3 linked regions of the Oreochromis niloticus genome follow. The protein of the gene in region 2 purifies or fractionates together with the protein of the main gene of each other region. This does not show direct contact. Links are inferred from orthologs where the notes say so. Each region holds a gene or a part of one and is shown on either strand. Other genes may lie near its edges. The genes, in order: klhl36, slc6a15 and golga5.

Region 1 (7,991 bases), about 39 Mb from region 2:
AGTGTCAGGTGTGAAGACATCAGGTCTAAAGCAGGTTTAACATGATGTTCACGTGAAATCATGAAATCAGCTTCTGTACCTCTCCTCCAATGAGCAGCAGTCTCTCCACTCCCCCCCTCACTGTGGTGCGTCCAGTTTGCAGGAGTGGCTGAACGCTGGTCCTGGCGTGGTACGCCAGCGCCTCCTCCACCAGGGCCTCACAGCCGGCCTCCTCGGGCAGCAGAGCTCGCACGTCCGGAAGCACCCTGCTCATGAGGTCTGCCACCGGGATCAGAGAGAATCGGATGTGGGAGAGGAGCTGCCTGGCGTGGGAGGTCCGCTCGGGCGTCTGGCTGAGCCACTGCAGCGAGGCCTGGAGAAGCGCCTGCTCGCTGTCGTGCTGAACCTGGCGATGAAGAAAGGGGCTCTCAGAATGCTAACCGTGCTTTTGATTTCAGCTCGTCTGCTGAGCCGTGGTGAGAACTCGTCTCACCTGGCCACTGGAGAGGTAGGAGTTGAGTTTGTGGAAAGGAATGTTGCGCAGGAAGTCCGGGGTGAAAGAGAGTGTGGTGAAATGTTTGAGGATGAAGTGGTCGATGAAGGCGCTGAGTCGCTCCAGGCTGTAGAGCAGCGCCAGCTCCTGCAGGTACAGGTAGTTGTCCTCGCTCACCTCCGTCTCCAGGAACTGGCAGCAGAAATCCACCGCTCGCCACACCTGAACAATGCACGAGTTTTTATAGGTAACATTAATTATCACCAACAATTGATTCTTAACAGTTAAACAGGTGATTTTAACAGGTGATTAAACCTCTCGCACTACAAACACAGAAATTCTTAGACATATTATTTTCCTGATAATTTAGTTTAAATGCTCCAAAAGGAGAAGTTCAGTCAAACAGGTCACCCCTCTAACTTTAAGCCTTAACAGTATCTAAACTGATGAGCTATAACAAAAATCACCTACTGTATATTTTTCATGAAGAGAAAACTACTCGTGGAGACCATTTTTTGTACCAGGCTGTAAACTATTTTTAATATGGGAGTTTACTGAGATTGACTCACTTTTAGGGTCAGCCCCAAGTGGCCATCATAGGAACTGCAGTTTTTGGCCCTTTCCCTCATCAGCCCCAGAAGCTGCCGCTTGGCCTGCATGGTTAAACCTAACAGCTCGCTGGTTTCTTACCTGCAGGAGGTGAGCAGCTTCCAGCACATAGTCAATGTTTCCTCCGTCCAGTGGCAGCTCGCCGCTGTACAGGAAGTCCACCACAGCCTTCAGACCCATGAAGGACATCCCGACCAGCTCCACCTGCAGACAGGAAGAACACGTGTGTACTTTATTCCATTTACAACTTCAGTACAACCAAGATAGAAACAAAGGCTCCCACAAATGATCCACATTGTTTTTAATCTGACTTTTTAATATATTATTTTATGTACATACATAAGCTAATTTCCTGAAGCATCCATGAAACATCTGAAAGCTTTTTTTCACAGCGTCGCCTGCATACCTCCTGCTGGTGCTCCTCCTTCATGCCCAAAGTAAACATAGCATTGAAATACGGGCTGGAGACCGCCAGCAGGGCTCGGTGAGCGGGGACGCGCTCGTCTTCAGCCACGAGGACCACGTCGCAGAACTGGCCGTGCTGCCGCTGCTCGTCGAGGCCCTGCAGCAGTTCAGCGGCATGATCCACCCAGCGGAAAACCTGCAAACACAGCACAACATCACCCTGATCACAACTCTTTACTCCAAACGGCTGTGTCGCCGACAAAAAACAGCAAAATCAGCGCCTGCTCCCAGGAGCCTCCTCAGAAACCTTGTTGAAAAGAACCAGGCTGCCTTTCTTCTTCTTTTTGCCTGCTTACTTTTGCACATTCCTCCTTATTCACACCCCAGATAAAGCCAACTGCTGCCAAACTTCAGATGGAAGTTTCTTGGCACTCGCAGTGTTTATACTGTACAAGCAGTAGAGAGAGATCTGCTGAGGTTTCCATCGTCTGATTTTGTCTCTCAGGCTAGAAATGAGCTGACTTCTCAACTTACCAGAGGGATGAAAACAGTCCCCAGATCCTCTGCACTTTGGATAGACAACTGTCTACAACTATTAGTCGATTAACCTGAAGCTACTTTACAGACCATGAAATTAATTTTTAACAATAACAACACTGACCTTAGACGATTCGCTAATCAGCTGGGGTCGACACACTCGGCTCAATTTGTCCATTACATCCCCCCAGGAAGGCATCATCTAAAGCACACACACACACACACACACGTTTTACTGTAATTCTTGCAACTATTAACTAATTAATAAGTTACTCAAATAATGCATCAGATTGATTAACTGATTCAGTTATTTTCAAGGAAAACTGGAAGAAATGTTCTCTTTGGAGTTATAAGCCAAACAAAACAAGAGATCTGAGGATATTCCATTCAGCTTTGACACTGATGTTTGATTTATTGCCCAGTAATAAAGAATTTCGTTCATAAGCGTGTGGGGGTGGCTGCTTTTAGTTTTACTATGTGTCTGGAACACGCTCAATAATCATGTTGGTACAGGACCTGTAACAGTTCATGAGATGAACAAGTCTTTGGTGTTTGATGTGAGAGCTGAACGAGCACGCTGGAGTCTGAGTCTCATTTGAAATAGGAGCTCTGATGCTTTAGATCACAGATATTATGAACTACACTCAGTTGAGGGTTCACGGCCCTTCCTAAACACAGGAAGTGGAGACAAGCTAGAGCCGCGGCTTTCAGGCCTTTAGCGAGATGAGATACATACAGCTGAAAAGCCCAGACGAGAAGCCGTGTCACTGCCTCAGAGCCACTGACAGCAGCGCTTACACGCGGACCTGAGGCGGGTCAGAAGGCGGCTGGCTCCTCTGTTATTCCGTCAGCAGCAGCATCTATGGGTCCCGCAGGACAGCCGAAGAACAAACTGCCGCATTTTATCCAGGAAACAATAAAAATGCTTCAAACGCCGCTCTTCGCCCACCGTCTTCTTACAGAGACTTATTGCCGGTGACACATGCTGTATTGGACCACAAAAACAGCTGGAGCAGGCAGCCAGAGGGACATAGCTTAGCCGCAGGTTAAACATCAACTGAACTTCCGGTTTGACTTTTCAGAATAAACCATTTGGTGGTATTTATTTATTGGTGGTTTGCGGTTACAAGCTATGAGCTTACAGATAAATAGAAAATATATATTTATGAATATTTGCTAATTTTTGTTGGAAGGAAAATATGTACTTATTTTGTGTATTCAAAAACCAGAGGTCTCTGAGAAGCTGAAGAGATCTTGAAATCTTTGGAAACTTTTGGACCTGCATCAAATGATGATGATGATAATAATAATAATAACAATGATAATAATAATAATAATAATAATAATAGCAGTAGTAGTAGTAGTAGTTAGTTCGATTTACCAGACAAGACTAAAAGCCATACTCAATGTTCAAAATTTTGTTTTATTTTGAAGTCAACGACTTTCGGCCGGATGTTGTTATTTACATCAACACTTTATGAAGCCCATTGAGTGACAACGCCAAACGGTACTGTGCAAAAGTCTGGCGCCACCCGTCTTTTCTCTACGTTATACGAGCATATCGGGAAATAGAAAGAAAGGAAACACGTTCCTAAAGATCCCCTTTCAAAAATATTACAAGTATAGCTCCTTTGAAACAAAAGGAGGTGGTTCAAGACTTTTGCGCGGTACTGTAGATAAACAGCTGCTAAATGAATGAATGAATGAATATATTAAAGAGATAAACGGAAGCCTATCGGGTGGCAGGACTGTCACAATGACACCGTTTTATGACACAGTTAACCTCGATTAATAATCTGAAAGAAAACAATATTAGTTAAACAATGTGGGCATGAATGTCTGAGTGCAGCACACTGGTGACCTGTCCAGGGTTTACCCTGCCTCCTAAATTTATCAAATAAAGTTTGTCCCGTTCATGGAAAATGAGTTGAACAGAGAAAGGAAGCTATTGATAAAAGACATGATAAGATCATTTATTTTTATTCATTTATTTTTATGCATAATATATTTATTCTGAATATGTTTGGTACACAGTTAAAACATGGAGCAATTTTTCCTGTTGTGATGATCTTTTACATCATAGAGTTGACTGCACATCAGCTAACTGGAGACCAGGTAGGATCAGGGTGCCATATGGGAGGAACATGAACAGGTGGATGAAGTGCGATGCTGTGGGGAATGTTCGGCTCAGAAAGTTGGCTCCTGGCTTCTGTGTGGCGATTACTGTGATGCAGTAACTCCCATCATGGCAGCAGTGTTCCTTGTGCAATAATGTTTCTAGATGCAAACTCTATCTTCCTACACAGCAAAATCTCCAGTGTTAAATTAACACTACAGAGTGTCTATATGTGTCCACACTGTTGAGTGTTAAATGAACACTTTTGACAGTGTTGTATTTTTAAAAGTAACCTAGTCAGTTTTCAAGATTTACAATGAATAAAACTGAGCAGTGCTGATTTTTCTGAACACTGGAAAATAACTCAAAATGTTAGAAATATTCTGCAGCCTGCATGTAACAGCAAGTGCAGACTGTGAGACAGACAGATGGAGATGAAGCTGGAGAGACAGAAGACATAACCAACCCCCCTCCTGCAGTCTAACATTGGACCGTGTGGTTATTGCTGACCGCTGAGTCTAAGTTTGCAGGAAAGATTGATGAAAGCTTGTGACCGACTGCAGGTCGACCAGCAGGTGGCAGGATGATGCAGGCACAAACAAACCAGGAGGTACACAGCTCAGTTGGGCTTATGCCAGTGTCAAAGAGTAGATACTGGCAAGAGGACGGAGATGACCTTTGACCTCTAGCTAGCCTTCTATTTGATCAGTGGATTTAATGTTTTAAGCCCAGCTCCTAGGTTCACGGTGTAAGTTATGTGAGTGTAATGACCAGTGGCTTTGTGTCAGACTAGTACCTGTTCCTCAAATTAATTCATCTGCACTCTGCTGTGTAAAGTTGCGGTGGTAGATAAGAGAAAGACCGGAAGTTGATCGTTTTAACTTAAGAATAAAAGTATCTATTTAAAATAAAAATGAGCAAATGCCAAACAAAAGCAAAACAGTTGCTCTCATTTTCATGTTATTGTATACAGCTTCCATTTTTACACCTTTTCCTTTGTGAAAGTTATTTTTATTCTACTGAATCATTTTTGATACACTGCTACTTTTTTCATGTTTCTTCAGCACTTTGGTTGTCAGTGTTGATAAACAGAGCCAATAAAAATAATCATTCACTGTAAGAGCAATTAAATAAGAAATGTCAATCTGGAATCAAATCCCTAAAAGATATATAATGTGTAATATTAGAATGAGAGAAAGAGAATTAATATTTATTTATTCCCTCACTTTAACAGGAAGAAATCTTCAGCACAACCAGGCTCACACACGCAGAACCAGGATTACTGCCCACGTGATCCTGAAATATACAGAATTATAGAAACAGAAAGTTTCTGTTAATTCAAAGAAAATCTCTTGTGGAACTATGTCCACAAAAAAGGACGTTTTACCTATAGTGATTACTAATAGAAATCTATAATAATATTATTATTTATAATAATAACATTTCATGGTAATACAAAATGTGAAATGGCTAAATTTGGTTTCAAGTCACTTTTGAGAACTTGCTGCCTTTGATTTTATTTAGAAAATCTCTTCCGGAAATTGTCGCTGCCTGTCGCGGTTGCCTTGACAGCGCTTCTTTTGCTAAACGCTCATTGACCAGGAGGAGGTGAACACAGCGTCTGGGGGAGCTTCTCTGTCTGTCTGCTGGCAACCTGATTGACTAACATCACCCACGCCCATAAAGTGGTAACATACAGGAAATGAACCGAGCTGCTAGAAGAACAGCCGTCTTTTCCCGCTGAATCTGACCGGTTCGATCGTTCCAGTGCAGTGGTCGTGATTTCCGACTGAAGCCCGCTTGTCACGCTATCGGTTCTAGGTCTCTGATGTGTAGCATCCACTGTGCAAGTTAGCCGCTTTAGTACCGTGTAGCTGGCCCTCCCTGGTTCAGACCCATTCAACGCTTATTTTGCCTGCCTGACACTTCTCCATCCGAAAAATGGCAACCCAGATCGATAAAGAGGCTTGCAGAGAGGCTTACAACCAAGTGAGGGACGATAACACTGACATCAATTGGTGAGTGTGCGAGCACGGTTACTAACCCATACTCCATTGAAGATTGTGACGGTTTTATATTAACGCTAAAATTACCGAAAATGAATGACACACGCACATAACCCTGCACCTGTCTGGTGGTATTCTAGCCGCCATCTACTTCGGCGACCAATAAAACACCAAACAGAGTATATATTTGATGTGGTGTTAGTTAAAAATGTATTTCACTCTGTCTGTTACCGCCCACTGTTCCGTCTTTTCAATGAGGAAGAGCGCAACATGAAGAGACGGACTTGCTTTTGAAAAAGTTCACATTGTGTTTAAATAAGCGTCGTTTGAATAAGCGGATACATGCCGAATAGAAAACTAACTAAAAAATGCTAATAAAATGTCGTCAGCTGTATGATTGGTGGCGTTTACTTCTGCACTTCTGCACCAGAACTTTAAATTGCTCTGTGATCCTATGCAGTTACGCCTGCTCATTGCGAAAATGCGCTAGAACAGCACATTGCGGACTGTTTCTTGTAGAAAAACTGGCCAAAATACACGCAGCGTTCGCTGTCCTGTCCCTCGGATGTGGCTGATCTGTATTCTGACTGTTCAGCGGTCACACAGCGCACTGTTATCAGGCCCGGCGGGGCATAAGTAATTTCCTTTGTCCTGTATTCAACGGGGAAAATGTTATAGTGGTGACACTTGCAGATGGCTGATACACAGCTGCCACCTTCCATGGGCGTCTCAGGCATTTTTCTGCAATGGTTGTCGTTGTTGTGTGTGTGCATTATGCGAACTCATGTGATCCTGCAGTAATTGGCCCACTGTGCTCCTTCCAGGGCTGTGTTTAAATATGAGAACAACATCATCGTGCCTGGAGGACAAGGGACCGACTATGAGGACTTCAAGAGTATGTGCACAGGTAAGACTGAATCAGTTTTAAACGCAGGGCTGTAGCTGTGTAGCTGGCTGCTGTAGATTTTGTAAAACAGCCTATATATCAGGCAGCTTGACTTGGCGGGACACTAATCTTTTAAGACTCTGTGCTCCATCACCCAATGAGCCTTGAGCCTGTGACTAGGCTGTCAGAGCACTTAGCTGTGTGTTCACTGCATTGCATAATCTTTTTCACAATATCTCAAGTTTTTTTACTACAGGGTGGCCTACATTTGACTATTGGTGCAAACTACAGTGGAAATATGTGAACTTTTAGCTTTACTCCTTCAACGATCTGACATTCATTAATATTTCACCTGCCTCTAACAAGAGAGCCTCCAAGCTTCTCCCAAAGCACAAACTCCCATAAGCTGCTGTAGTGTAATGACTTGCAGTGTGCAAACCTTTTATGTATAGATTTCAAAAAAACCTATCTCACTCCGGTGAAGTTCCCCTTTAGAGAGAGTGAAGCATCTGCTCAGATGATGGGTGTGGCAACTGCTAATGCAAGCTCTTTTTGTCTTTAAAGCCTCAGGGCCTCCTGTGTCTCTCTGCTTCCTGATGTCTAGAGCTCACATTCCTATGTTGAAATCACTCCTTTACAACAGTGCTTTACATGTAACCGCTCAGCTGCTGCGTTCGCTATTGGTTCCTGTTCAGTGATGACACACGCATCTCCCTCTGTGGGCTCGTTTGCCTTATTTAGCAGTGAAGTTGTAACCTGCAGAAAAAAAACCCCTCTGCGTATGCGTGTGTGTGCGTGTGCGTGTGTGTGCGTGCGTGTGTGTGTGTGGGAGGAGCTGCCGCAGACTTGAGTTTAGTGAGTTTAGATCAACTCTTGTAGAATATTGATCTTAAACTTATACTGCAGCAGGAAGTGAAAAAAGAAGATACTGCATGCTGGGGTATTGTTTCGCCAAGATCT
Region 2 (7,656 bases):
ACACGTTAGACTAGAAACACAACAATGGTCTGCAAGGAGTCAATCACGTAGAGCAGACCGCATTGTAGGAAATGAGGTTATCATAAACTATAATCAGAAGCATCACACTCTTCTTAGAATTATTTCCTGTATGTTGAAAGCAGCGTTAGAGGTTCTGTGTTTGGTTGTGTGTATGAAATCACAGACGTAACAAGGCAGTCATATTAACATTCTGTCTGTGGTGAAGCTCGCAGCCTAGTCTAGTTTTGATGGATGACACATCATTTTGAGACTACTCGTGAGAAGAGGTTTTAATGTTCTGATGTTAATTTCAACGTTCTGATCGGAGCTGATGATTCTGGGAACACTGTCCACATTCATTCAACAAAGGTGCCTATTTTAGGAGTTCTGCGGTATCAACTTTCACCTTCTGTCAGCAAACGCGTTAATGCTGAAGAGATGTTGATGTGTGACCCTGCACCCACATGGTAAACACAGAGTACAACACCTTCACTATAAAACGGTAATTTCATGAAGTCATGACGCCATTTAAAGCCCATTCAGAGTGTCTGCAAAGAAACAAAAGCTAAAAGTGGAAGGTGATACTTCTGGTTTCTCAGTAAGGATGAACAAACAAACAAACAAAAAAAAAAACGAATAAAAAAACAATCAAATCAAACACGTCTTCGTTAGCCATTTTTTGTCCTCTGTAAAAACTTGCACATGTAGATGCTAGACTTGGCTTCCACCCAAGAATATCACATCCTGAATCTACGATCGCTTTTAATTAACACGGAACTCCTTTTGTCCCCTTGTGTCTTGGTCTTTGTTCCTTTTGTTATCATGTTTAACATGATGCTACCCATCAGTTATACGCCCTTACTGTGTGTGTGTGTGATGCTAGCTGAGACTCACCCCCTCCATTCTTCTGACACAGGTAGGGGAATCTCCAGACGTTGCCCAGGCCTACAGAGAAGCCAACCTGGGCCAGGATGTACTGGAGCTTGCTGTTCCAGGCCGGTCGTTCCTCCTCCTCGGCATCTGACCCCCCTTCCTCCACATCGCACTCTTTCCCTTCGCCTTCATGGTTGTTGACGATCAGCGAGCTCTTCTTGAAGGAATCATCACAGGCGTCCTCGTTGGAAAGCAGGTCTCTGACAGACTCTGTGACATCGTCGTCAAGCTCTCTCTTGACGGCCTTGCTGTTTTTGGGCATTTGATAAAGCAAACAAGGGCGAAAGTGTGGAACGTCTTCTTGGCTGGCGGGCTGGTGGGACAGAGCCGGCGTGTGAAAAGAACTCTGCGCAATGGCACAAGTTTGAAAGTATTCTGGGTTCAATGGCCAGCGGGCTTTTACAAAGTTTGTAGAGGTTTATTTCCTCATTATCACCATATATCTGCGAGGGAGAGATAGAAACACAGCAAAGGGTAAACAGCCAATGAAAGTGAAAACCTGTGTTTATTTTTTACATAGTTTCAGGTACTTATTTCCTTCCTAAAATACTAAAATAACTTTGACAAGAGATGACAAGAAATGAACTTATTAAACTAACTAAACCCAAAGGTAAACCTTTATTTGGTTTACCTTTGGGTGATTTGATTTCAGTCTGACTCCATGTATATATTTCACAAGAAATAAACTACTTTTTTAACCTTACTCCTTATCCCTCAGCATCTTACTTGAATTTACACCGTAGGGAGAATTACTTCTCCATCTGAGGGATGCTGATGCAACACTCACATGGATTTCACATGACTGGAAAGGGCACCAAAATCAGTGAATGGGATTTTATTCTCAGTGCTTGTTCTGGACAAAAAAACAAAAAACAAAAAAACAAAAAACTGGGCCTGGAGCATTTGGCTGGTTGAGCACGCTGCCTAGGACAGTGACACACTGAGATACAGAGGCTATCCCGTTTCAAGCCCCCTGAATAATTGAACAGGCAAAGCGATTTGCATACAAACCCAAACATTCCCTACTTTTACCTGATGGGGAAAGCCCTCAAATATAAAAGCATATGAACTTCCCAAATTACACTTTTCTCTTCTATAAAAGAGCTTAATCACGGTGCATTAACATTTAATGACGCTTAGTACCGGCAGCACTGGAAGAGAATCAAGGGTGTGCCATCAACCTAAAGGCTGATTAAGGTGCGCAGCATCCTTGATTCCTAAATGTGAGCATCCTTTCAGGGAGGCTTCACATCAAGCTCAAATCCATCCTCGAACATTTTCATTTAAACTGTCAGAGGCGCAAAAAATATCCCCGGCACGACGAGGGGCGTTGCGACCACGAAGCACTGCGTGTCTCCCGCCTTTCACCACACAGAGGATTAAGAGATTAATAGATTTCTTTCAGCGCTTCCAGATTAGCCTGGTTTGAATGAGGCAAAGGCCATCGTTTCATAATGCAGTGAACACAACGCGGCGTCCAAAACCGAGCCATGATGCTGCGCAAGCCTCGCCTCGGTTATTATTAATCGTTTAATAGCGGAGCACTTATTACAAATATTAAACATATGAGTGCGTCTAGGAGGAGAATGACTCATTCTGTAGTATCTTTTTTGCACATGGCTCGGCCTGTTGTGTTAACATGACATACCAAAGCGGATGAAGCAATAGATTAAAAAAATAAAAAAAACATTTATTATTAACCCAACCGGTCTCACTAGTGCTATGTGGGGTTTGTCCTCGTTCATTCATTTCCTCCCTCCCGCTCACAGCCGTCATGTCATCTCTGAGGAGTGTTTCATCATTCACCGGTCATCCACACCAGGGTACCTCAATCCAACCCATACTCTGTATCACGCCTTGCCTTTACCATCAGCCTGCTTATCCCTGCTGGAGATGCTGAGGATGGTACTCACCTTCGCGGAATAGCAATCTTCTGAAATGACTCGTCTCAAGGAATGAAATTGTGAGAGCACATGCACGGGGAAGACATTATCACCAATTTGTGTCTCAGCCGGTGTGTTGCGCTCCGCTTCGGTGTCCTGTGCTTCACTTGTCTGGCTTACGGAGACGAGCGCCGCTCAAAAAGGAAAGGAGGGGGACGGACTGGGTGGGGAGGGGGGTTTCTCCGCCTCCAACTCGCTCGTGACCGTCAGTAGGCAACTCTTTATTTACTTAATATTTAACTTTATATAGTTTATATCACATATCTATGTCACACCGCACGACACGCATGCTTACACCGTCCCTATTTAGTTGAAATAAGCATATTTGTACCCTCATCCTCCCCCCGTTTGCCACTTGGTACACTCCACTACTACTAATCCGGTAGAAAAGGGGCTGGCTTAAGGATAAAAAAGCAATGTGCCTCTGTTTATAAACGCGGATTTTCTCTGACTGGATATGTATTTGGATCGCATATGTATTTTTTTTTAATTTTTTGCAATTTATTTAAAAAAACACAGACTGAATTTAGGGGACATGACGTGCAGAAAGCGAGGTTTGTGGTTCAAGGTCGTCGTTTCGCTCGACTTCAACCTCCCAGGGTGGTGCGATGAAATTTGCATATATCCGCGACGAGACAGACATATTGTTTTATCATGCTTTTTATTTAAGATATATTTAGATAATACCATTATTTCAGCAATCTGAATGAATGAAATCAATGAATGTTATATTACAGGGAGTAACACCTGCTGTCATGGGTCCAGTTAGGTCTACAGTAAATGTATTTCAAGGTGTAGTATGGATCAGCCATTCAATATATATTTAAATTGGAATCTTGAGATCAAACTAAGCTGTATTTCGTCCATGAAGTGAATTGAGTTTCATACCTAAAAGCATGACGACTAAAACAGGTATAAAGGCAGTCATCTGGACACTCATATTTATTTTCATATTACACGGAGGTGGCACAAGATGTCATTTTCTGAAATGTGGTCTTAAAGATTTTCACTTTGACTGTTTGCAGAATATTTCAGACCAATTATTAACTTGTCAGAATGTAGGAGAAGTTACAGAGACTAAGAGGAAATACGAGGTTTAAGCTTGCATAACCTGAAATTCAGGCGTTATCTCGGAGATGATAGGTTAGCCATTGCCTTAGTTTTTTTCCTTTCTTTTTTCTCTTTAAAGTTGTTCTATTCCCTGAGAAGAAAATCATGCACTTGGAAACACTACCCACGTTTATGTCCTGTCTTGCCCTGGTGGCCAGTGTGAAATCCACCCACAGTATTTCAGGTGCATCATCACAGAACTCAGTAGTTGTCACAGCCTTTGCCAAGCAGAATATGTGTGTATTTGATGTTCATGCAAATCTATTACGTCCAATTCATTGGTCGTCCAAGTCTTATCATCTCTTCTTACCACTCCCCTTAGTTACATATCTCTGTAGTTCTGACACAAATACAGGTTGTCATCCTTGCTGTACAAAATGCACAGGATATTGCCCGCTCACTGAAATAAGAGATTGAGATAAAATACCCAGTTAAACAGCTAAACTATATTGTTTGACATCTGACATACAATCGCAGCTTTGGATAATAAGCCTTTATTCCACCTAATGCAACATAATTTCTATGTAAATACATCTACTGAAAGGATGATTGTATTTATTTTGATTGATGTCTTGAAGATAGGTGTTAGGTCCAATTGTTGAATGTTGCCATTGTGTTTCTTAAATTTGTACAGTCTTAGTTCAAGCAGTATTATCAAAGCCATTCCTTTGATCCTGAGCACCTCTAACCACTTTGTGTTGGGGGAGGGTTTTATTGTAGATACATCCTATCTGAAAGATCTGTTTCTTGTGTTGTAAGCTTCCTGCTTTTACGACCCTTTGGTCAGCAGGAGGTCTCACACACATACACACACACACACACACATTCCTACTTACATATAAAGGTTCACACACATATACATACAATGCCTTAGAACCATGTGGGCGTTGCTTTGCTGTGTTTTGTGTGAACTGTCTCTCAATAAAAGGCAGCGAGAGGAGGCTGGATTTGGGGTCATTTCCATGCTGGACATAGAGGAGGCCTCCCTTGCGCAAGTAATCGATCGATCGCTGACTGTCTTGTTTTCATTCATGATGAATAAGTCTCTAGAATTAGCGGGGTTTGTGGGAACAGACCCAACAATAGGTTTTTGTGCAAGCTTTCAAAATTGTTAAGGTCTTATGATACCTTTGATTTGAGTCTTTACACTGTTAAAAAACACAAAAAAGTACATACTTACATGAAGATAAACTTTGTTCCACAATAAAAGGGGGAACTTGGTTTGATGGTTAGTGCAACAGCGGAAGCTATCATCCTCCTTTCAAAGAACTGAGACCCCTGCTACTGGTTCTGTACAAAGCAGCTGTCCCTTCAGTACAGAAACTGATGACACACTTGACAAATTAAACAGAATACAAAGAACTAGCAGCTGAGGCTGATTAACAGAGCTGATAACTCTGGGTTAACCTCTTGGGGATTGGGTGCAGTGGATTTGTGGTATTATGTGTTATAATGTCACTGATTCAGTTTTTTCTAGTTAGGTAAGTCATAAAGTGAAAAGAAGAGCCAGTAACAGCAGAGGATTGCACTGGTTCTTGATGATTACTGTATAAACACTATTCAATGGAATAGCAAATGTAGCTTCAGGGATTGGAAACAGTTGGCTGCTCAGTCTACAGATCCAAAGATGATGATGATGATTTGTGTGCTGAGTAAAAGGAAGAACTCTAAATTGAATTCAGTTCAATTCAATTCAATTCAGTGTTATTTATACAGTGCCGAATCACAACAACAATCGCCTCGAGGCGCTTCATATTGTAAGGTAGACCCCACAATAATACATACAGAGAAAAACCTAACAATCAAATGACCCCCTATGAGTAAGCACTTTGGCGACAGTGGGAAGGAAAAACTCCCTTTTAACCAGAAGAAACCTCCATCAGAACCAGGCTCAGGGAGGGGCGGTCATCTGCCGTGACAGGTTGGGGTGAGAGAAGGAAGACAGAATAGAAGACATGCTGTGGAAGAGAGCCAGAGATTAATAACAAGTATGATTCAGTGCATAGAGATCTATTAACACATAGTGAGTGAGAAAGGTGACTGAAGAAGAAACACTCAATGCATCATGGGAATCCCCCAGCAGCCTACACCTATTGCAGCATAACTAAGGGAGGATTCAGGGTCACCTGATCCAGCCCTAACTATATGCTTTAGCAAAAATGAAAGTTTTAAGTCTAATCTTAAAAGTAGAGATTGTGTCTGTCTCCTGAATCTAAACGGGAAGCTGGTTCTACAGAAGAGCAGCCTAAAAACTGAAGGCTGTTCCTCCCATTCTACTTTTAAATACCCTAGCAACAACAAGTAAGCAGTCACGGTCCTATTTGTTTAATATGTGCATTGAAGGACATATCCTGGTCAAAAATGACTCCAAGATTCCTCACAGTGTTACTGGAGGCCAAGGTAATGCCATCCAGAGTAGGAATCTGCTTAGATACCATATTTCTAAGATTTTCAGGGCTGAGTACAATAACCTCAGTTTTATCTGAATTTAGAAGCAGAAAGTAGCAGCCATCCAGGTCTTTATGTCTTTAAGACATTCCTGCAGTTTAATTAATTGGTGCGTGTTATCTGGCTTCATAGATAGAGTTTGGTGTCACCTGCATAGCAGTGAAAATGTATGCTATGCAATCTAATGATACTGCCTAAGGGAAGCATGTATAATGTAAACAGAATTTGTCCTAACACTGAACCCTGTGGAACTCCAAAATTAACCTTAGTGTGTGAAGAAGAGTCTCCATTTACATGAACAAATTGGAGTCTATTAGATAGATATGATACAATATCTATAACTATAATACAATATCTATCACACTGCAGCGGAGTACCTGTAGTACCTACAGTATGCTCTAATCGTTCTAAAAGGATATTATAGTCGACAGTATCGAATGCTGCAGGTCTAGCAGAACAAGCACAGAGATGAGTCCACTGTCAGAGGCCATAAGAAGATCATTTGTAACCTTCACTAGAGCTGTTTCTGTGCTGTGATGAGCTCTGAAACCTGACTGAAACTCTTCAAATAAGCCATTCCTCTGCAGATGACCTGTTAGCTGTTTGACAACTACTCTTTCAAGGATTTTTGATATGAAAGGAAGGTTGGAGACTGGCTTATAATTAACTAAGATCACTGGGTCTAGGGATGGCTTTTTAAGTAAAGGTTTAACTACTGCCAGCTGGAATGCCTGTGACACATAGCCAATTATTAGAGATAGGGTGATCATATTTAAGATTGAAGCATTAATTAATGGCAGGACTTCTTTGAGCAGTCATGTAGGAATGGGGTCTAAAAGACACGTTGATGGTTTACAGGAAGTTTAGTGGTCTTGTTACCTATAGGCTGGCCATGACCAGCAGCCATCAACTTTACGACTCATGATAATCACATAGCTGTGTATCTTTTGCAGATCCTTCTAATTTCTCCTTGAATTTCCTTGTATTTCAGATCATTGCCTCTTTAAGAAGTTTTGAACATAGGCCAACAACCAGTAACTAGTCACTGTGAGATCATTTACCTTGTTACTGGCCAAACTAGTCATTGGCTCCTCCTTCATAATATGATGTATGATGATGAAGCAAGTGGAAGCATCATGGTTCAGATAAAAAACCCAAAAGAAAACAAAAAACCAAAAAACTTTTGTTACAATAAAAAACCCTAATGAACAATGCGTTATTA
Region 3 (7,918 bases), on a different chromosome or scaffold from region 2:
TCTCAGGTGTATCTGTGGTGGCCAGGCAAGAGTGAAGAGAGATCAGCATTTACAGGTATAAGTGTGGTAGCTCTTATATTATACTGCTAAACAGCAACAAACTGGTATAATAAAGCATTAATATAAAATTATCTTATTTCATACCATTGTACTTTAAGGTTCCCTGTCAAGTTTTGGACACTAAGTGGGTTAATTCTTTATTGGGAGGTGGTAAATTTAACATTTTAAAAGGGAGCCCCACAAGGTTCAGTATTAGGTCCCATGTGGTTCATATTAACAATCTTGCACCCTCTCTCTATAAGAAAATATACCATCCATCTTTATTCACATGCTACAGTTCTGTACTGTATTAATAATAATATTCTTTACTCAGCCACTGAAATCCAACAGCAAGTCTTTCTAAATTGAAAGAACGACGTAACCTAAAATTTGCTTTGAAAGCAAGTAAGTTCTCAAGAGCTTATGAGAAATTGTGGAGACGATCTGTATGTACACCTCTGACTCAATTCTTAAACCCTCTTAATTCATTTCAGCTCTTCAACCAAAGATTTACTAATAAAAACATTGATTCTTGTTTTTACTGGGTTTCATATAAAAAAGCTGAGTTATGACTGTGGCAGAGTAGTCACTGGTTTTCATTCACTTTCTTTATAGACCTTTATTTTCTTGTAAAATAATTTTACCCCTTCAAGCAATTGACTATTTCAATATGTAATTACAAACCAGAATGTTCTTGAAGATAACTGTTATCTTACCAAGTGACCAATTATTAGTTCCTTTTCATGTGTTTATTCACTCCATTTTCACTGTACTCTCTAAATATTTGCAAATTAGTGCATCCTATCACCGATTTATTTAAACAAAGGCTGCTTTCATGTGCATGCTCAGGATTCAGCATGCACATAACCGCACATAATTTTTCTCTCATAGTCATGAGAGCCTTTCAGTAGAAGTAATGTGACAAAAATGCATTGATGTGCCAATAAAGGTGAAGAAGAAGCTAAAAAAAAAACCTGTCTTAACTGTAAGCTGAAATTTTCTTCTCCTGTGAATAAGGTTGATTGTTTATAAAATGTTTGAGTGTTGTTAATTAGTCACACAGTGTTCTGCTGGTTTTGCTCATACCTTGGCCTTGCTCTTTAGCAGAGTTCTCCTCTGTTTTGATGCTGTGAGCAGATAATGAGCTCATGCTTGAAGCTCTTGATACACCCCGGGTGGACGGGGGTGTGGAGGGGACTGATGGGGTGGTATAAGAAGTGGTGGAAGCAGGAGATGTTGGGTTTTGGGCCTCTACCACTTTTACAAGCTCCTTTCTTGAATCCCTCCGATTGCTGACTTGAGGCTCAGAGCTATTAAGAAAATCGAAGAGCATGTCATCGTCCACGTTCTGCTCACTCTTTTTGGGTCTCACAAACCCAGATGAAGTCTTGCTAGTGTTGGGAGCGCTGCTACCAGAACCCAAGGGTGTACTGGTCACATTGGCAGACCCAGCCAGCACGGTTGCATTAGATTTCTTGATGTTGCCAGCTGCAGAAGAGATGTAGCTCTGGGCATCATGAGAGGATGCATAGGTATGATGTGTCACAGGTGGGTTGGTCTTGTACCCTGCAGAGTTGTAGTCAGTTTTAGCAGTGGATTCTTCTCCATAGGCTATTGAAAAGGAGGATGATTTTTCCTGGCCTTTGCTCAGGGCAGTAGCAGCTCCCTGGTCCACTTTATTCAGGAAGTCTTCAGCTTTCCCAGCCAAGTCAGTAAACCAAGACATTTTGCAACCTAGCGATAGAGACAAACAGCAACATGTAAAGATTTACTTGACAGATAATATATTTATTTACTTTCCAAGTTCTTGGATTTCTATTTAACAACATAAGGAAGGTCAGTAGGAGAGTAAAGGTCACTATGTCAATGACAGACGCTAAATCTAGACAGGCAGTTTAACTGTAAAATAGCATTTCACCTCCCCTCATCATTATCACCACTGAGATATCATCCAATGAGGCCTTTAGTTTCAAAAGCTCAGGATACACTGGCTAACTGTACCTGTGCATGACAGAGCTACTTCTGGTGTGGCTACTACCAGCCCAGGTAACCACAGCAGATCTTCTGCCTCTTTCTCTAACAGTCTTCTCTGTCACATCACACCACTGTATGCCCTCCTTCACTAGATCTATAATTCTTCTCTGATGTCTTCCTGTAGACTTCAGGAAGAGCAGCGCAAACCCTGCCCTGGGCTGTCAACAAAGGCTCTGTAGAGACGGTTTCTCAGAACCTTTATTGCTGACAACCTCACCTGGTCTGCCAACACAACAGGTGCAGACAAGACAGCTCAGTGGTGCATTTGCTTAATAAGGTTTCTGAAGAAAAACAGTCATGGATGAGAAACTACATTTGGTAACACTAAAATATGCCAGCTGCTTTGCAAAATCGTTATATTTTCTAACGCAGTGGCAATAAATGGATTCTGAGGATGGCCTTGAAACTAGACAGGACTGAGCTTGATGGGAAGCAAAACTGCGAATCGATCCATATTAAATAAACAGGATCGCAGCAACAAATTGTAGACAGTTAAAGTTAGGACTCTTCCAGTTTTGTGAGCAGCCTGTCAAGTTCGACTCAGGACTAAAACTCTCCCTGCGACAAATGCTGCACAGCTAGCATGCTATAACAAAAAACTAAGCAGCGAAATTTAATCAGCTATTATTTTTAACCACACCACGCTTTTTTTTGTTAAACATAAATGAACAAAGGGGGTTATTGGAGATGTTTTAACTCTAACGTTATCGTAAAACGATGTAAACACAGTTGTTCAGGATCAACTCCATCAGTGCTGCGGCTAACAGGCTAGCTGGCTGTTAAAGGAGACATTTAAACGTACCGTTTGACAAGAGGTATCAGTCTCAGGGTGTCTCCAGTCACCTGACTGCCGCCGAGGTTAAACAGATCAGAGTGAAAGAGTAAAACTGCTTGGAAAACAAAGTCAAATATCATCATCTGTCAAGGAGGATGTTGATGATCCTCTCAATACGTGGACCAGGAAGCGCTGCAAATAAGGACCCGACAACAGAGCGCCTTGGGAAAAGCCTGATCGAAAATTAACGGGGTTCCCAAAGCGCAGCACTCACCTCTGTTAAGGACTTTACTGTTTACTTTACTTTTACTGTTAGTAAAAATAAATGTTTATATATATATATACATATATATATATAGATATAGATATATATATGTGTATAAGAAGAAGGAGGCGAAGAAGAAGACCTGAACAACTGGTAAGTTATTTACTTTTTTTTAAAGGAAATTAAACATAGTTTTGTTTTGTTTTTTTAAGTTTAAGTATGATCCTATTTTAATTAATATTCGTATAAACACGTATAAAGTTCTCATCTTTGGATAAAAGCTTGCCGTTTGAAACAAATGAAGCTAAACACTGGGGAAACTAATATAAAGTAAAAGATACATTACAGACTAAGGCCAGAGTACTTTATTTTGTTCCGACAATCAAGATATGATTGTAGTATAGACTTTCAGTTTTAATTTAAGGGGTTTACTAATTGTTTTAGCATTTTTGTACATTGTACCTCATTTTCAGAGGACCAAAAGTATTTAAGATATTAAAACACAATTGCTTGTTTGTTTGTTTGTTTGTTTTAGTCCACTATAGTCAATAACCTTAATTATAGAACCCATGGACGTTATCAAGTAGATTATCTGCTAACCCTTTACTACTGTCACCATCCAGTGCTTGTGACTCTTTCCGTATTCAGTTTTTTATTTATTTATTTTTTTGCTGTATTCTTGGTTGTCTGTGAAGGTTCTCAGTCATCCAGTTCATAGCAGTCTAAGGAGCTTGGAAAGAAAAGCCTCTGGACTTCTTTATGTTTCTTGAAGACATTTCACCTCTCATCTGAGACACTTCTTCAGTTCTAAGAGCAATTGGTGGAGAGTCCCTTTGGGTCATTATCCATTTGCACTATGAAGGACTGTTCAATCAGTTTTGGAGTATGTGACTGAATGTAAGCAGAGTATATAGGCTTGTAGAATGTACATTTCATCCTGCTACTTCTATAAGCAGTTACATCATCAGTAAACACTAGTGACCCGGTTCCACTGACAGCCACACAGGCATATGGTGTAATATTATTTCCATTACATTGGATGATATGGTATGCTTCAGCTATTTCTGTGCTTCTCCATACTTTTCTCCCCCATCATTCAGGTACAAGTTCCTCTTGGTTTCATCTGTTCAAAGATTTTTTTCTCAGGACTGCACACTTCAGGGTTTTCTGGCTAACTCCAATCTGTCCTTCTTATTCCTGAGTGTAATCAATGTTTTGCACCTTGTTGTAAACCTTCTGTAGGCATCTCCTAAATGCAGACTTTGATAATGATATGCCTGCCTCCTTGAGAGTGTTCTCAACTTGGCTAGATGTTGTGAAGTTATTCTTAACCATGGAAGTAATTCTTTCGTCATACCCCTTAGCTGTCTTGTTTTTTGTTTTTGGGGTTTTTTTTTGGGGGGGGGCATTTAGTGTTGCTGAGCTGCCATTCAATGGTGAATAACACTTGTCAGTTAATTGCCTTCTTACTTTTGAGTGGGGCACTAGCATAGAATCGAATGAGATTGTCTTCTTTGAGGGCACAATTCATTTGCTCATGTCTTTGCAGTCGTCTTCAGACACAACTCTCACTAGTTTTGAAATCTCTCTCTTCTTACCTCTGCTGAGCTTGTTCTGTACTGTGAGGTTCTCTTTAAATTTCTTGATGATTACTTCTAACTCCAGTTTCTGAAACTTGGAAACATTGTTCTAACTTTGTATATCCATTTGCCCTCATCTGTAGTCCATACAGAAGACAGACAAAATGACACAGAAGTTATGAAACAGTGCCCCTTTATTTTTTTCCGCACTCACTCAAAAATGCATATTTACATGGCATGCCACATCAAAACAGGAACTGACTATGGACACAATCGATAACACATAGAATCTGCTCTGGGAGTTCAGGGCATGGGAGCTATCCCATGAACAACCAACCGAGGGAAACTAAAAATGAAGCAACACTTAGAATAAGGTCGGCCATACAAAAGAGTTCCTCTTTATTTAGGTTGATTAAAAAGTGACAGATGTCCAGCTGACCTGTACTGAACGTTTTACATTTGTCATGAAGGGCCAACACTGTGGTTAAGTCAGAGATGATGATAGTGTAAACTCTGCAAATAACCACAATGCTGTTGAAATTTAGGATGGAACTGCAAGTGCAGATGTTCATACATACAGAGGGGGAAAATGGACCATTTTAATTTATTACTGATGAGAACAAGCTGGTCAAATCCGAAGATGTCCATAGACTTTAAAATGGCTAAGCAACCTAAATTGTCTAAGACAGGTTCCTTGTTCAAGGTAATAATCCACAAGTGCCATGTTGTCTTTGTCCTCTTGAAGAAAATTTAAAAAAAAAACATTAAAAAATTTAAAAATTAAAAAAAAAAAAAAAGGGGGGGGTCGACTCCAGACATCCAGAAGAGTAGGAGAAGTTAAATACATTTAAAAAAAAAAACCAAAAAAAACAAAAAAAAAAACCACCACACAAACAAACTCAGTATACAAGTTTGTCTGTAAATGCAAAAGGAACAAAAAAAAACAAAAAAAAAAACCCAAACATATCTGGACAAGGTTTTCTTTTTTCTTCTTCCCGAGAAAGATCCTTTGAGAAAAACGTTGTCTCCGTTTAATCAGTATTTCCTTTGTGTTGGATGAACAGTCTATTTTATCATCATTCGAACACACATCCTTCAGGAGTCATTCACATTCTCTCTCTCGCTCACACACACAAACACCCAGTCTCTCACTTTCACTCAGACACACACACAAACTCTCGCTTACACATGCAATGTGGGTTCTCGATGAGGTGCTGCCACATCAAATCAGCCCCCTCCTCTTCTTGTAGTCTTCCAGGTTGAGCGACCTGCGGGGAGCGCCGTCCTTCACTGGCAACGCGTTAGAGCTCACAGACAGAGACTTCGCCTCTGCAGACGAAGAGCAAAATTACACAACTTCACTATATCACTGTGAAACACACTAGCATTCACCTTGTGCTCCAAGTAAGTAGAACATCTAGGCCGTACAGCTTCAACAGTACCAAAAAAGGGTCTCACCTGCATTGGGAACCTGTAGGTCAATCTTTACATCAAAGTCGTGAACTTTAAACAAGTCTTCCGAGAGGTCAGTGGTTGGCTTCGGGACATCTTTGTCTTTCTGGTTTGTTTGACCCTAAAAGAGAGAAAGTTAGATTTCTTCAGGATAAAGAGCTACAATTCAGGTTGGTGCTCATTTCCAGTCTAATCTTATTTTAATTAGATCTCAACGGAAAAAGAAATTATTTTCTGCTAAATTTTTGCCATATTCTAAAATAATAGTTTTGTTTTCATTATTTTAACTATGAAAGCTTATAAATCATGTATTCACCAAAAAAGAACTACAGTGCTGAACTCAGTTTATTCTTTCAAAAAGTTGAGTTTATCTCAAAATATCTTTGGCTCTGTCCATCAGTGTGTGCAAACTTTAACATCAATTTTGGCATCATTTCTACTTATCAGTATCTACATTATGAGCTATCAGGGAGGGTCCTGCTTACCAGTTTGTTCTTCTCTGGACTTGAATTGTCTGGTGTTGAACCAGAGCCATATTTCTGGTTTAGGTGAGCAAGAATAGCTGCGTGGACTGACGGATCTCTGGCCTGCCAAATGAAAAGAATCACAGTGACAGATCAGATCAACAGAAGTAGAAGTAGTGGTAGTTTAGGGGCATTTTCGACTGCTGTTATGCTGTATGCACATAATTAAGCATGTCTTCAGTCTTATTTATAGCAGTTCAGTAATTTAAACTGTCAATTTCATTATTCAGGTATTGTGTTTGTGAAAATGAGGCATGTGTTATTTCAGTGTGTTTAAACAAGTACAAATATCCAATCTGATAAATTTATTATAGAACACTTACATTAGACACCATGGTGGGTTTGCACTGTCTTCGTGTGAAAGGATCCATTTGTTGGTTTTTGGCATTTTGTCCTTCAGCCTGTTGGAAAATAATTAATAATATACAAATAAATAAACTAAATATTAGTATGTAGAAACCTGCACCATGAAGGGATGTATAATCATGAAAGCTGCATTAAAATTCATAGGTATGTTGTTTTTACTACACATGCAATAGGACGTGATGGTTTTAAGCCTCTGCAGGTCATCTTGGACATACAGGTGCTAAGGTTAGTATAAAACTCTTAGGCTGGGAGTTGGCTGAAGTGAACCACAGTGATACTGAACATGGTCACAGTAAAGCAGCACCAGATTAAGAAAACACCTGACATGAGGAAGCACTTTGAGGAAGATTATAAATGTACCATTTTTGATAAAATGCTGCAAAAACAGACTTTATAGAGATGAAACTCTTCTTTTATATTCCCGATGCTTGCATCATTGAAGGTTTTCCTATCCATAGATCTATTCATATGGTGTTATGCTGTCAATATTTTAGCATAAAGTTATGAATTCCTAGTTTCTTCAATCAATTCTATTTAAATAGCAGCACATTTGATTGGTAGCGACTTAGTCTCTTAATGCTTATGGAAGCAGTAAGGGTGTGTTTTTTCCAAAACACAATGGCTTAATTTTTGATAAATAATTACATTATGTAATATATCTTTCTTTTTTAACTCATCTGAGGTTGTGATGGCTGTATATGGTGCTGCTGAAGAAGGTGAACACTTACCACAAGAGCTTTTTCAGATTCAACAATGTTCCAGCTTCTGTTCCTCTGATTAATGTAACTGGGTGACAAAAGAACAGTTTAAGATCATTACAGAGTAATGATAAAGGGGCTACCAACAAAACACAATTTAGCTGTTTTTCTGTAGTTAATAACTT

Evidence for each region.
Region 1: the proteins of slc6a15 (region 2) and klhl36 purify together in Homo sapiens (co-immunoprecipitation; 3 studies listed by BioGRID and IntAct, counting the BioPlex papers as one, with this or other methods). This does not show direct contact. The link is inferred for Oreochromis niloticus from reciprocal best matches to the Homo sapiens genes SLC6A15 and KLHL36.
Region 3: the proteins of slc6a15 (region 2) and golga5 purify together in Homo sapiens (co-immunoprecipitation; 3 studies listed by BioGRID and IntAct, counting the BioPlex papers as one, with this or other methods). This does not show direct contact. The link is inferred for Oreochromis niloticus from reciprocal best matches to the Homo sapiens genes SLC6A15 and GOLGA5.

What each region holds. Positions count from the first base shown.
Region 1 is NC_031972.2:2,805,686-2,813,676, forward strand, and holds the start of klhl36 (kelch-like protein 36), read right to left. Parts: upstream 3,087-7,991; 5' UTR 2,830-3,086; exon of another isoform or gene 2,760-2,829; intron 2,226-2,759; coding exon 2,148-2,225; intron 1,683-2,147; coding exon 1,488-1,682; exon of another isoform or gene 1,454-1,487; coding exon of another isoform or gene 1,421-1,453; intron 1,286-1,420; coding exon 1,163-1,285; intron 695-1,162; coding exon 473-694; intron 386-472; coding exon 80-385; intron 1-79. Other genes in the region: cotl1 (coactosin-like protein), read left to right, coding at 6,081-6,157, 6,970-7,052.
Region 2 is NC_031972.2:42,242,886-42,250,541, reverse strand, and holds the start of slc6a15 (sodium-dependent neutral amino acid transporter B(0)AT2), read right to left. Parts: upstream 3,005-7,656; 5' UTR 2,847-3,004; intron 1,377-2,846; 5' UTR 1,196-1,376; coding exon 895-1,195; intron 1-894.
Region 3 is NC_031983.2:22,101,635-22,109,552, forward strand, and holds the start of golga5 (golgin subfamily A member 5), read right to left. Parts: upstream 3,068-7,918; 5' UTR 2,876-3,067; intron 1,774-2,875; 5' UTR 1,766-1,773; coding exon 1,126-1,765; intron 13-1,125; coding exon 1-12. Other genes in the region: RNA polymerase-associated protein RTF1 homolog, read right to left, coding at 5,916-6,022, 6,152-6,266, 6,631-6,732, 6,993-7,070, 7,764-7,821. UniProt on the Homo sapiens protein: Involved in maintaining Golgi structure. Stimulates the formation of Golgi stacks and ribbons. Involved in intra-Golgi retrograde transport.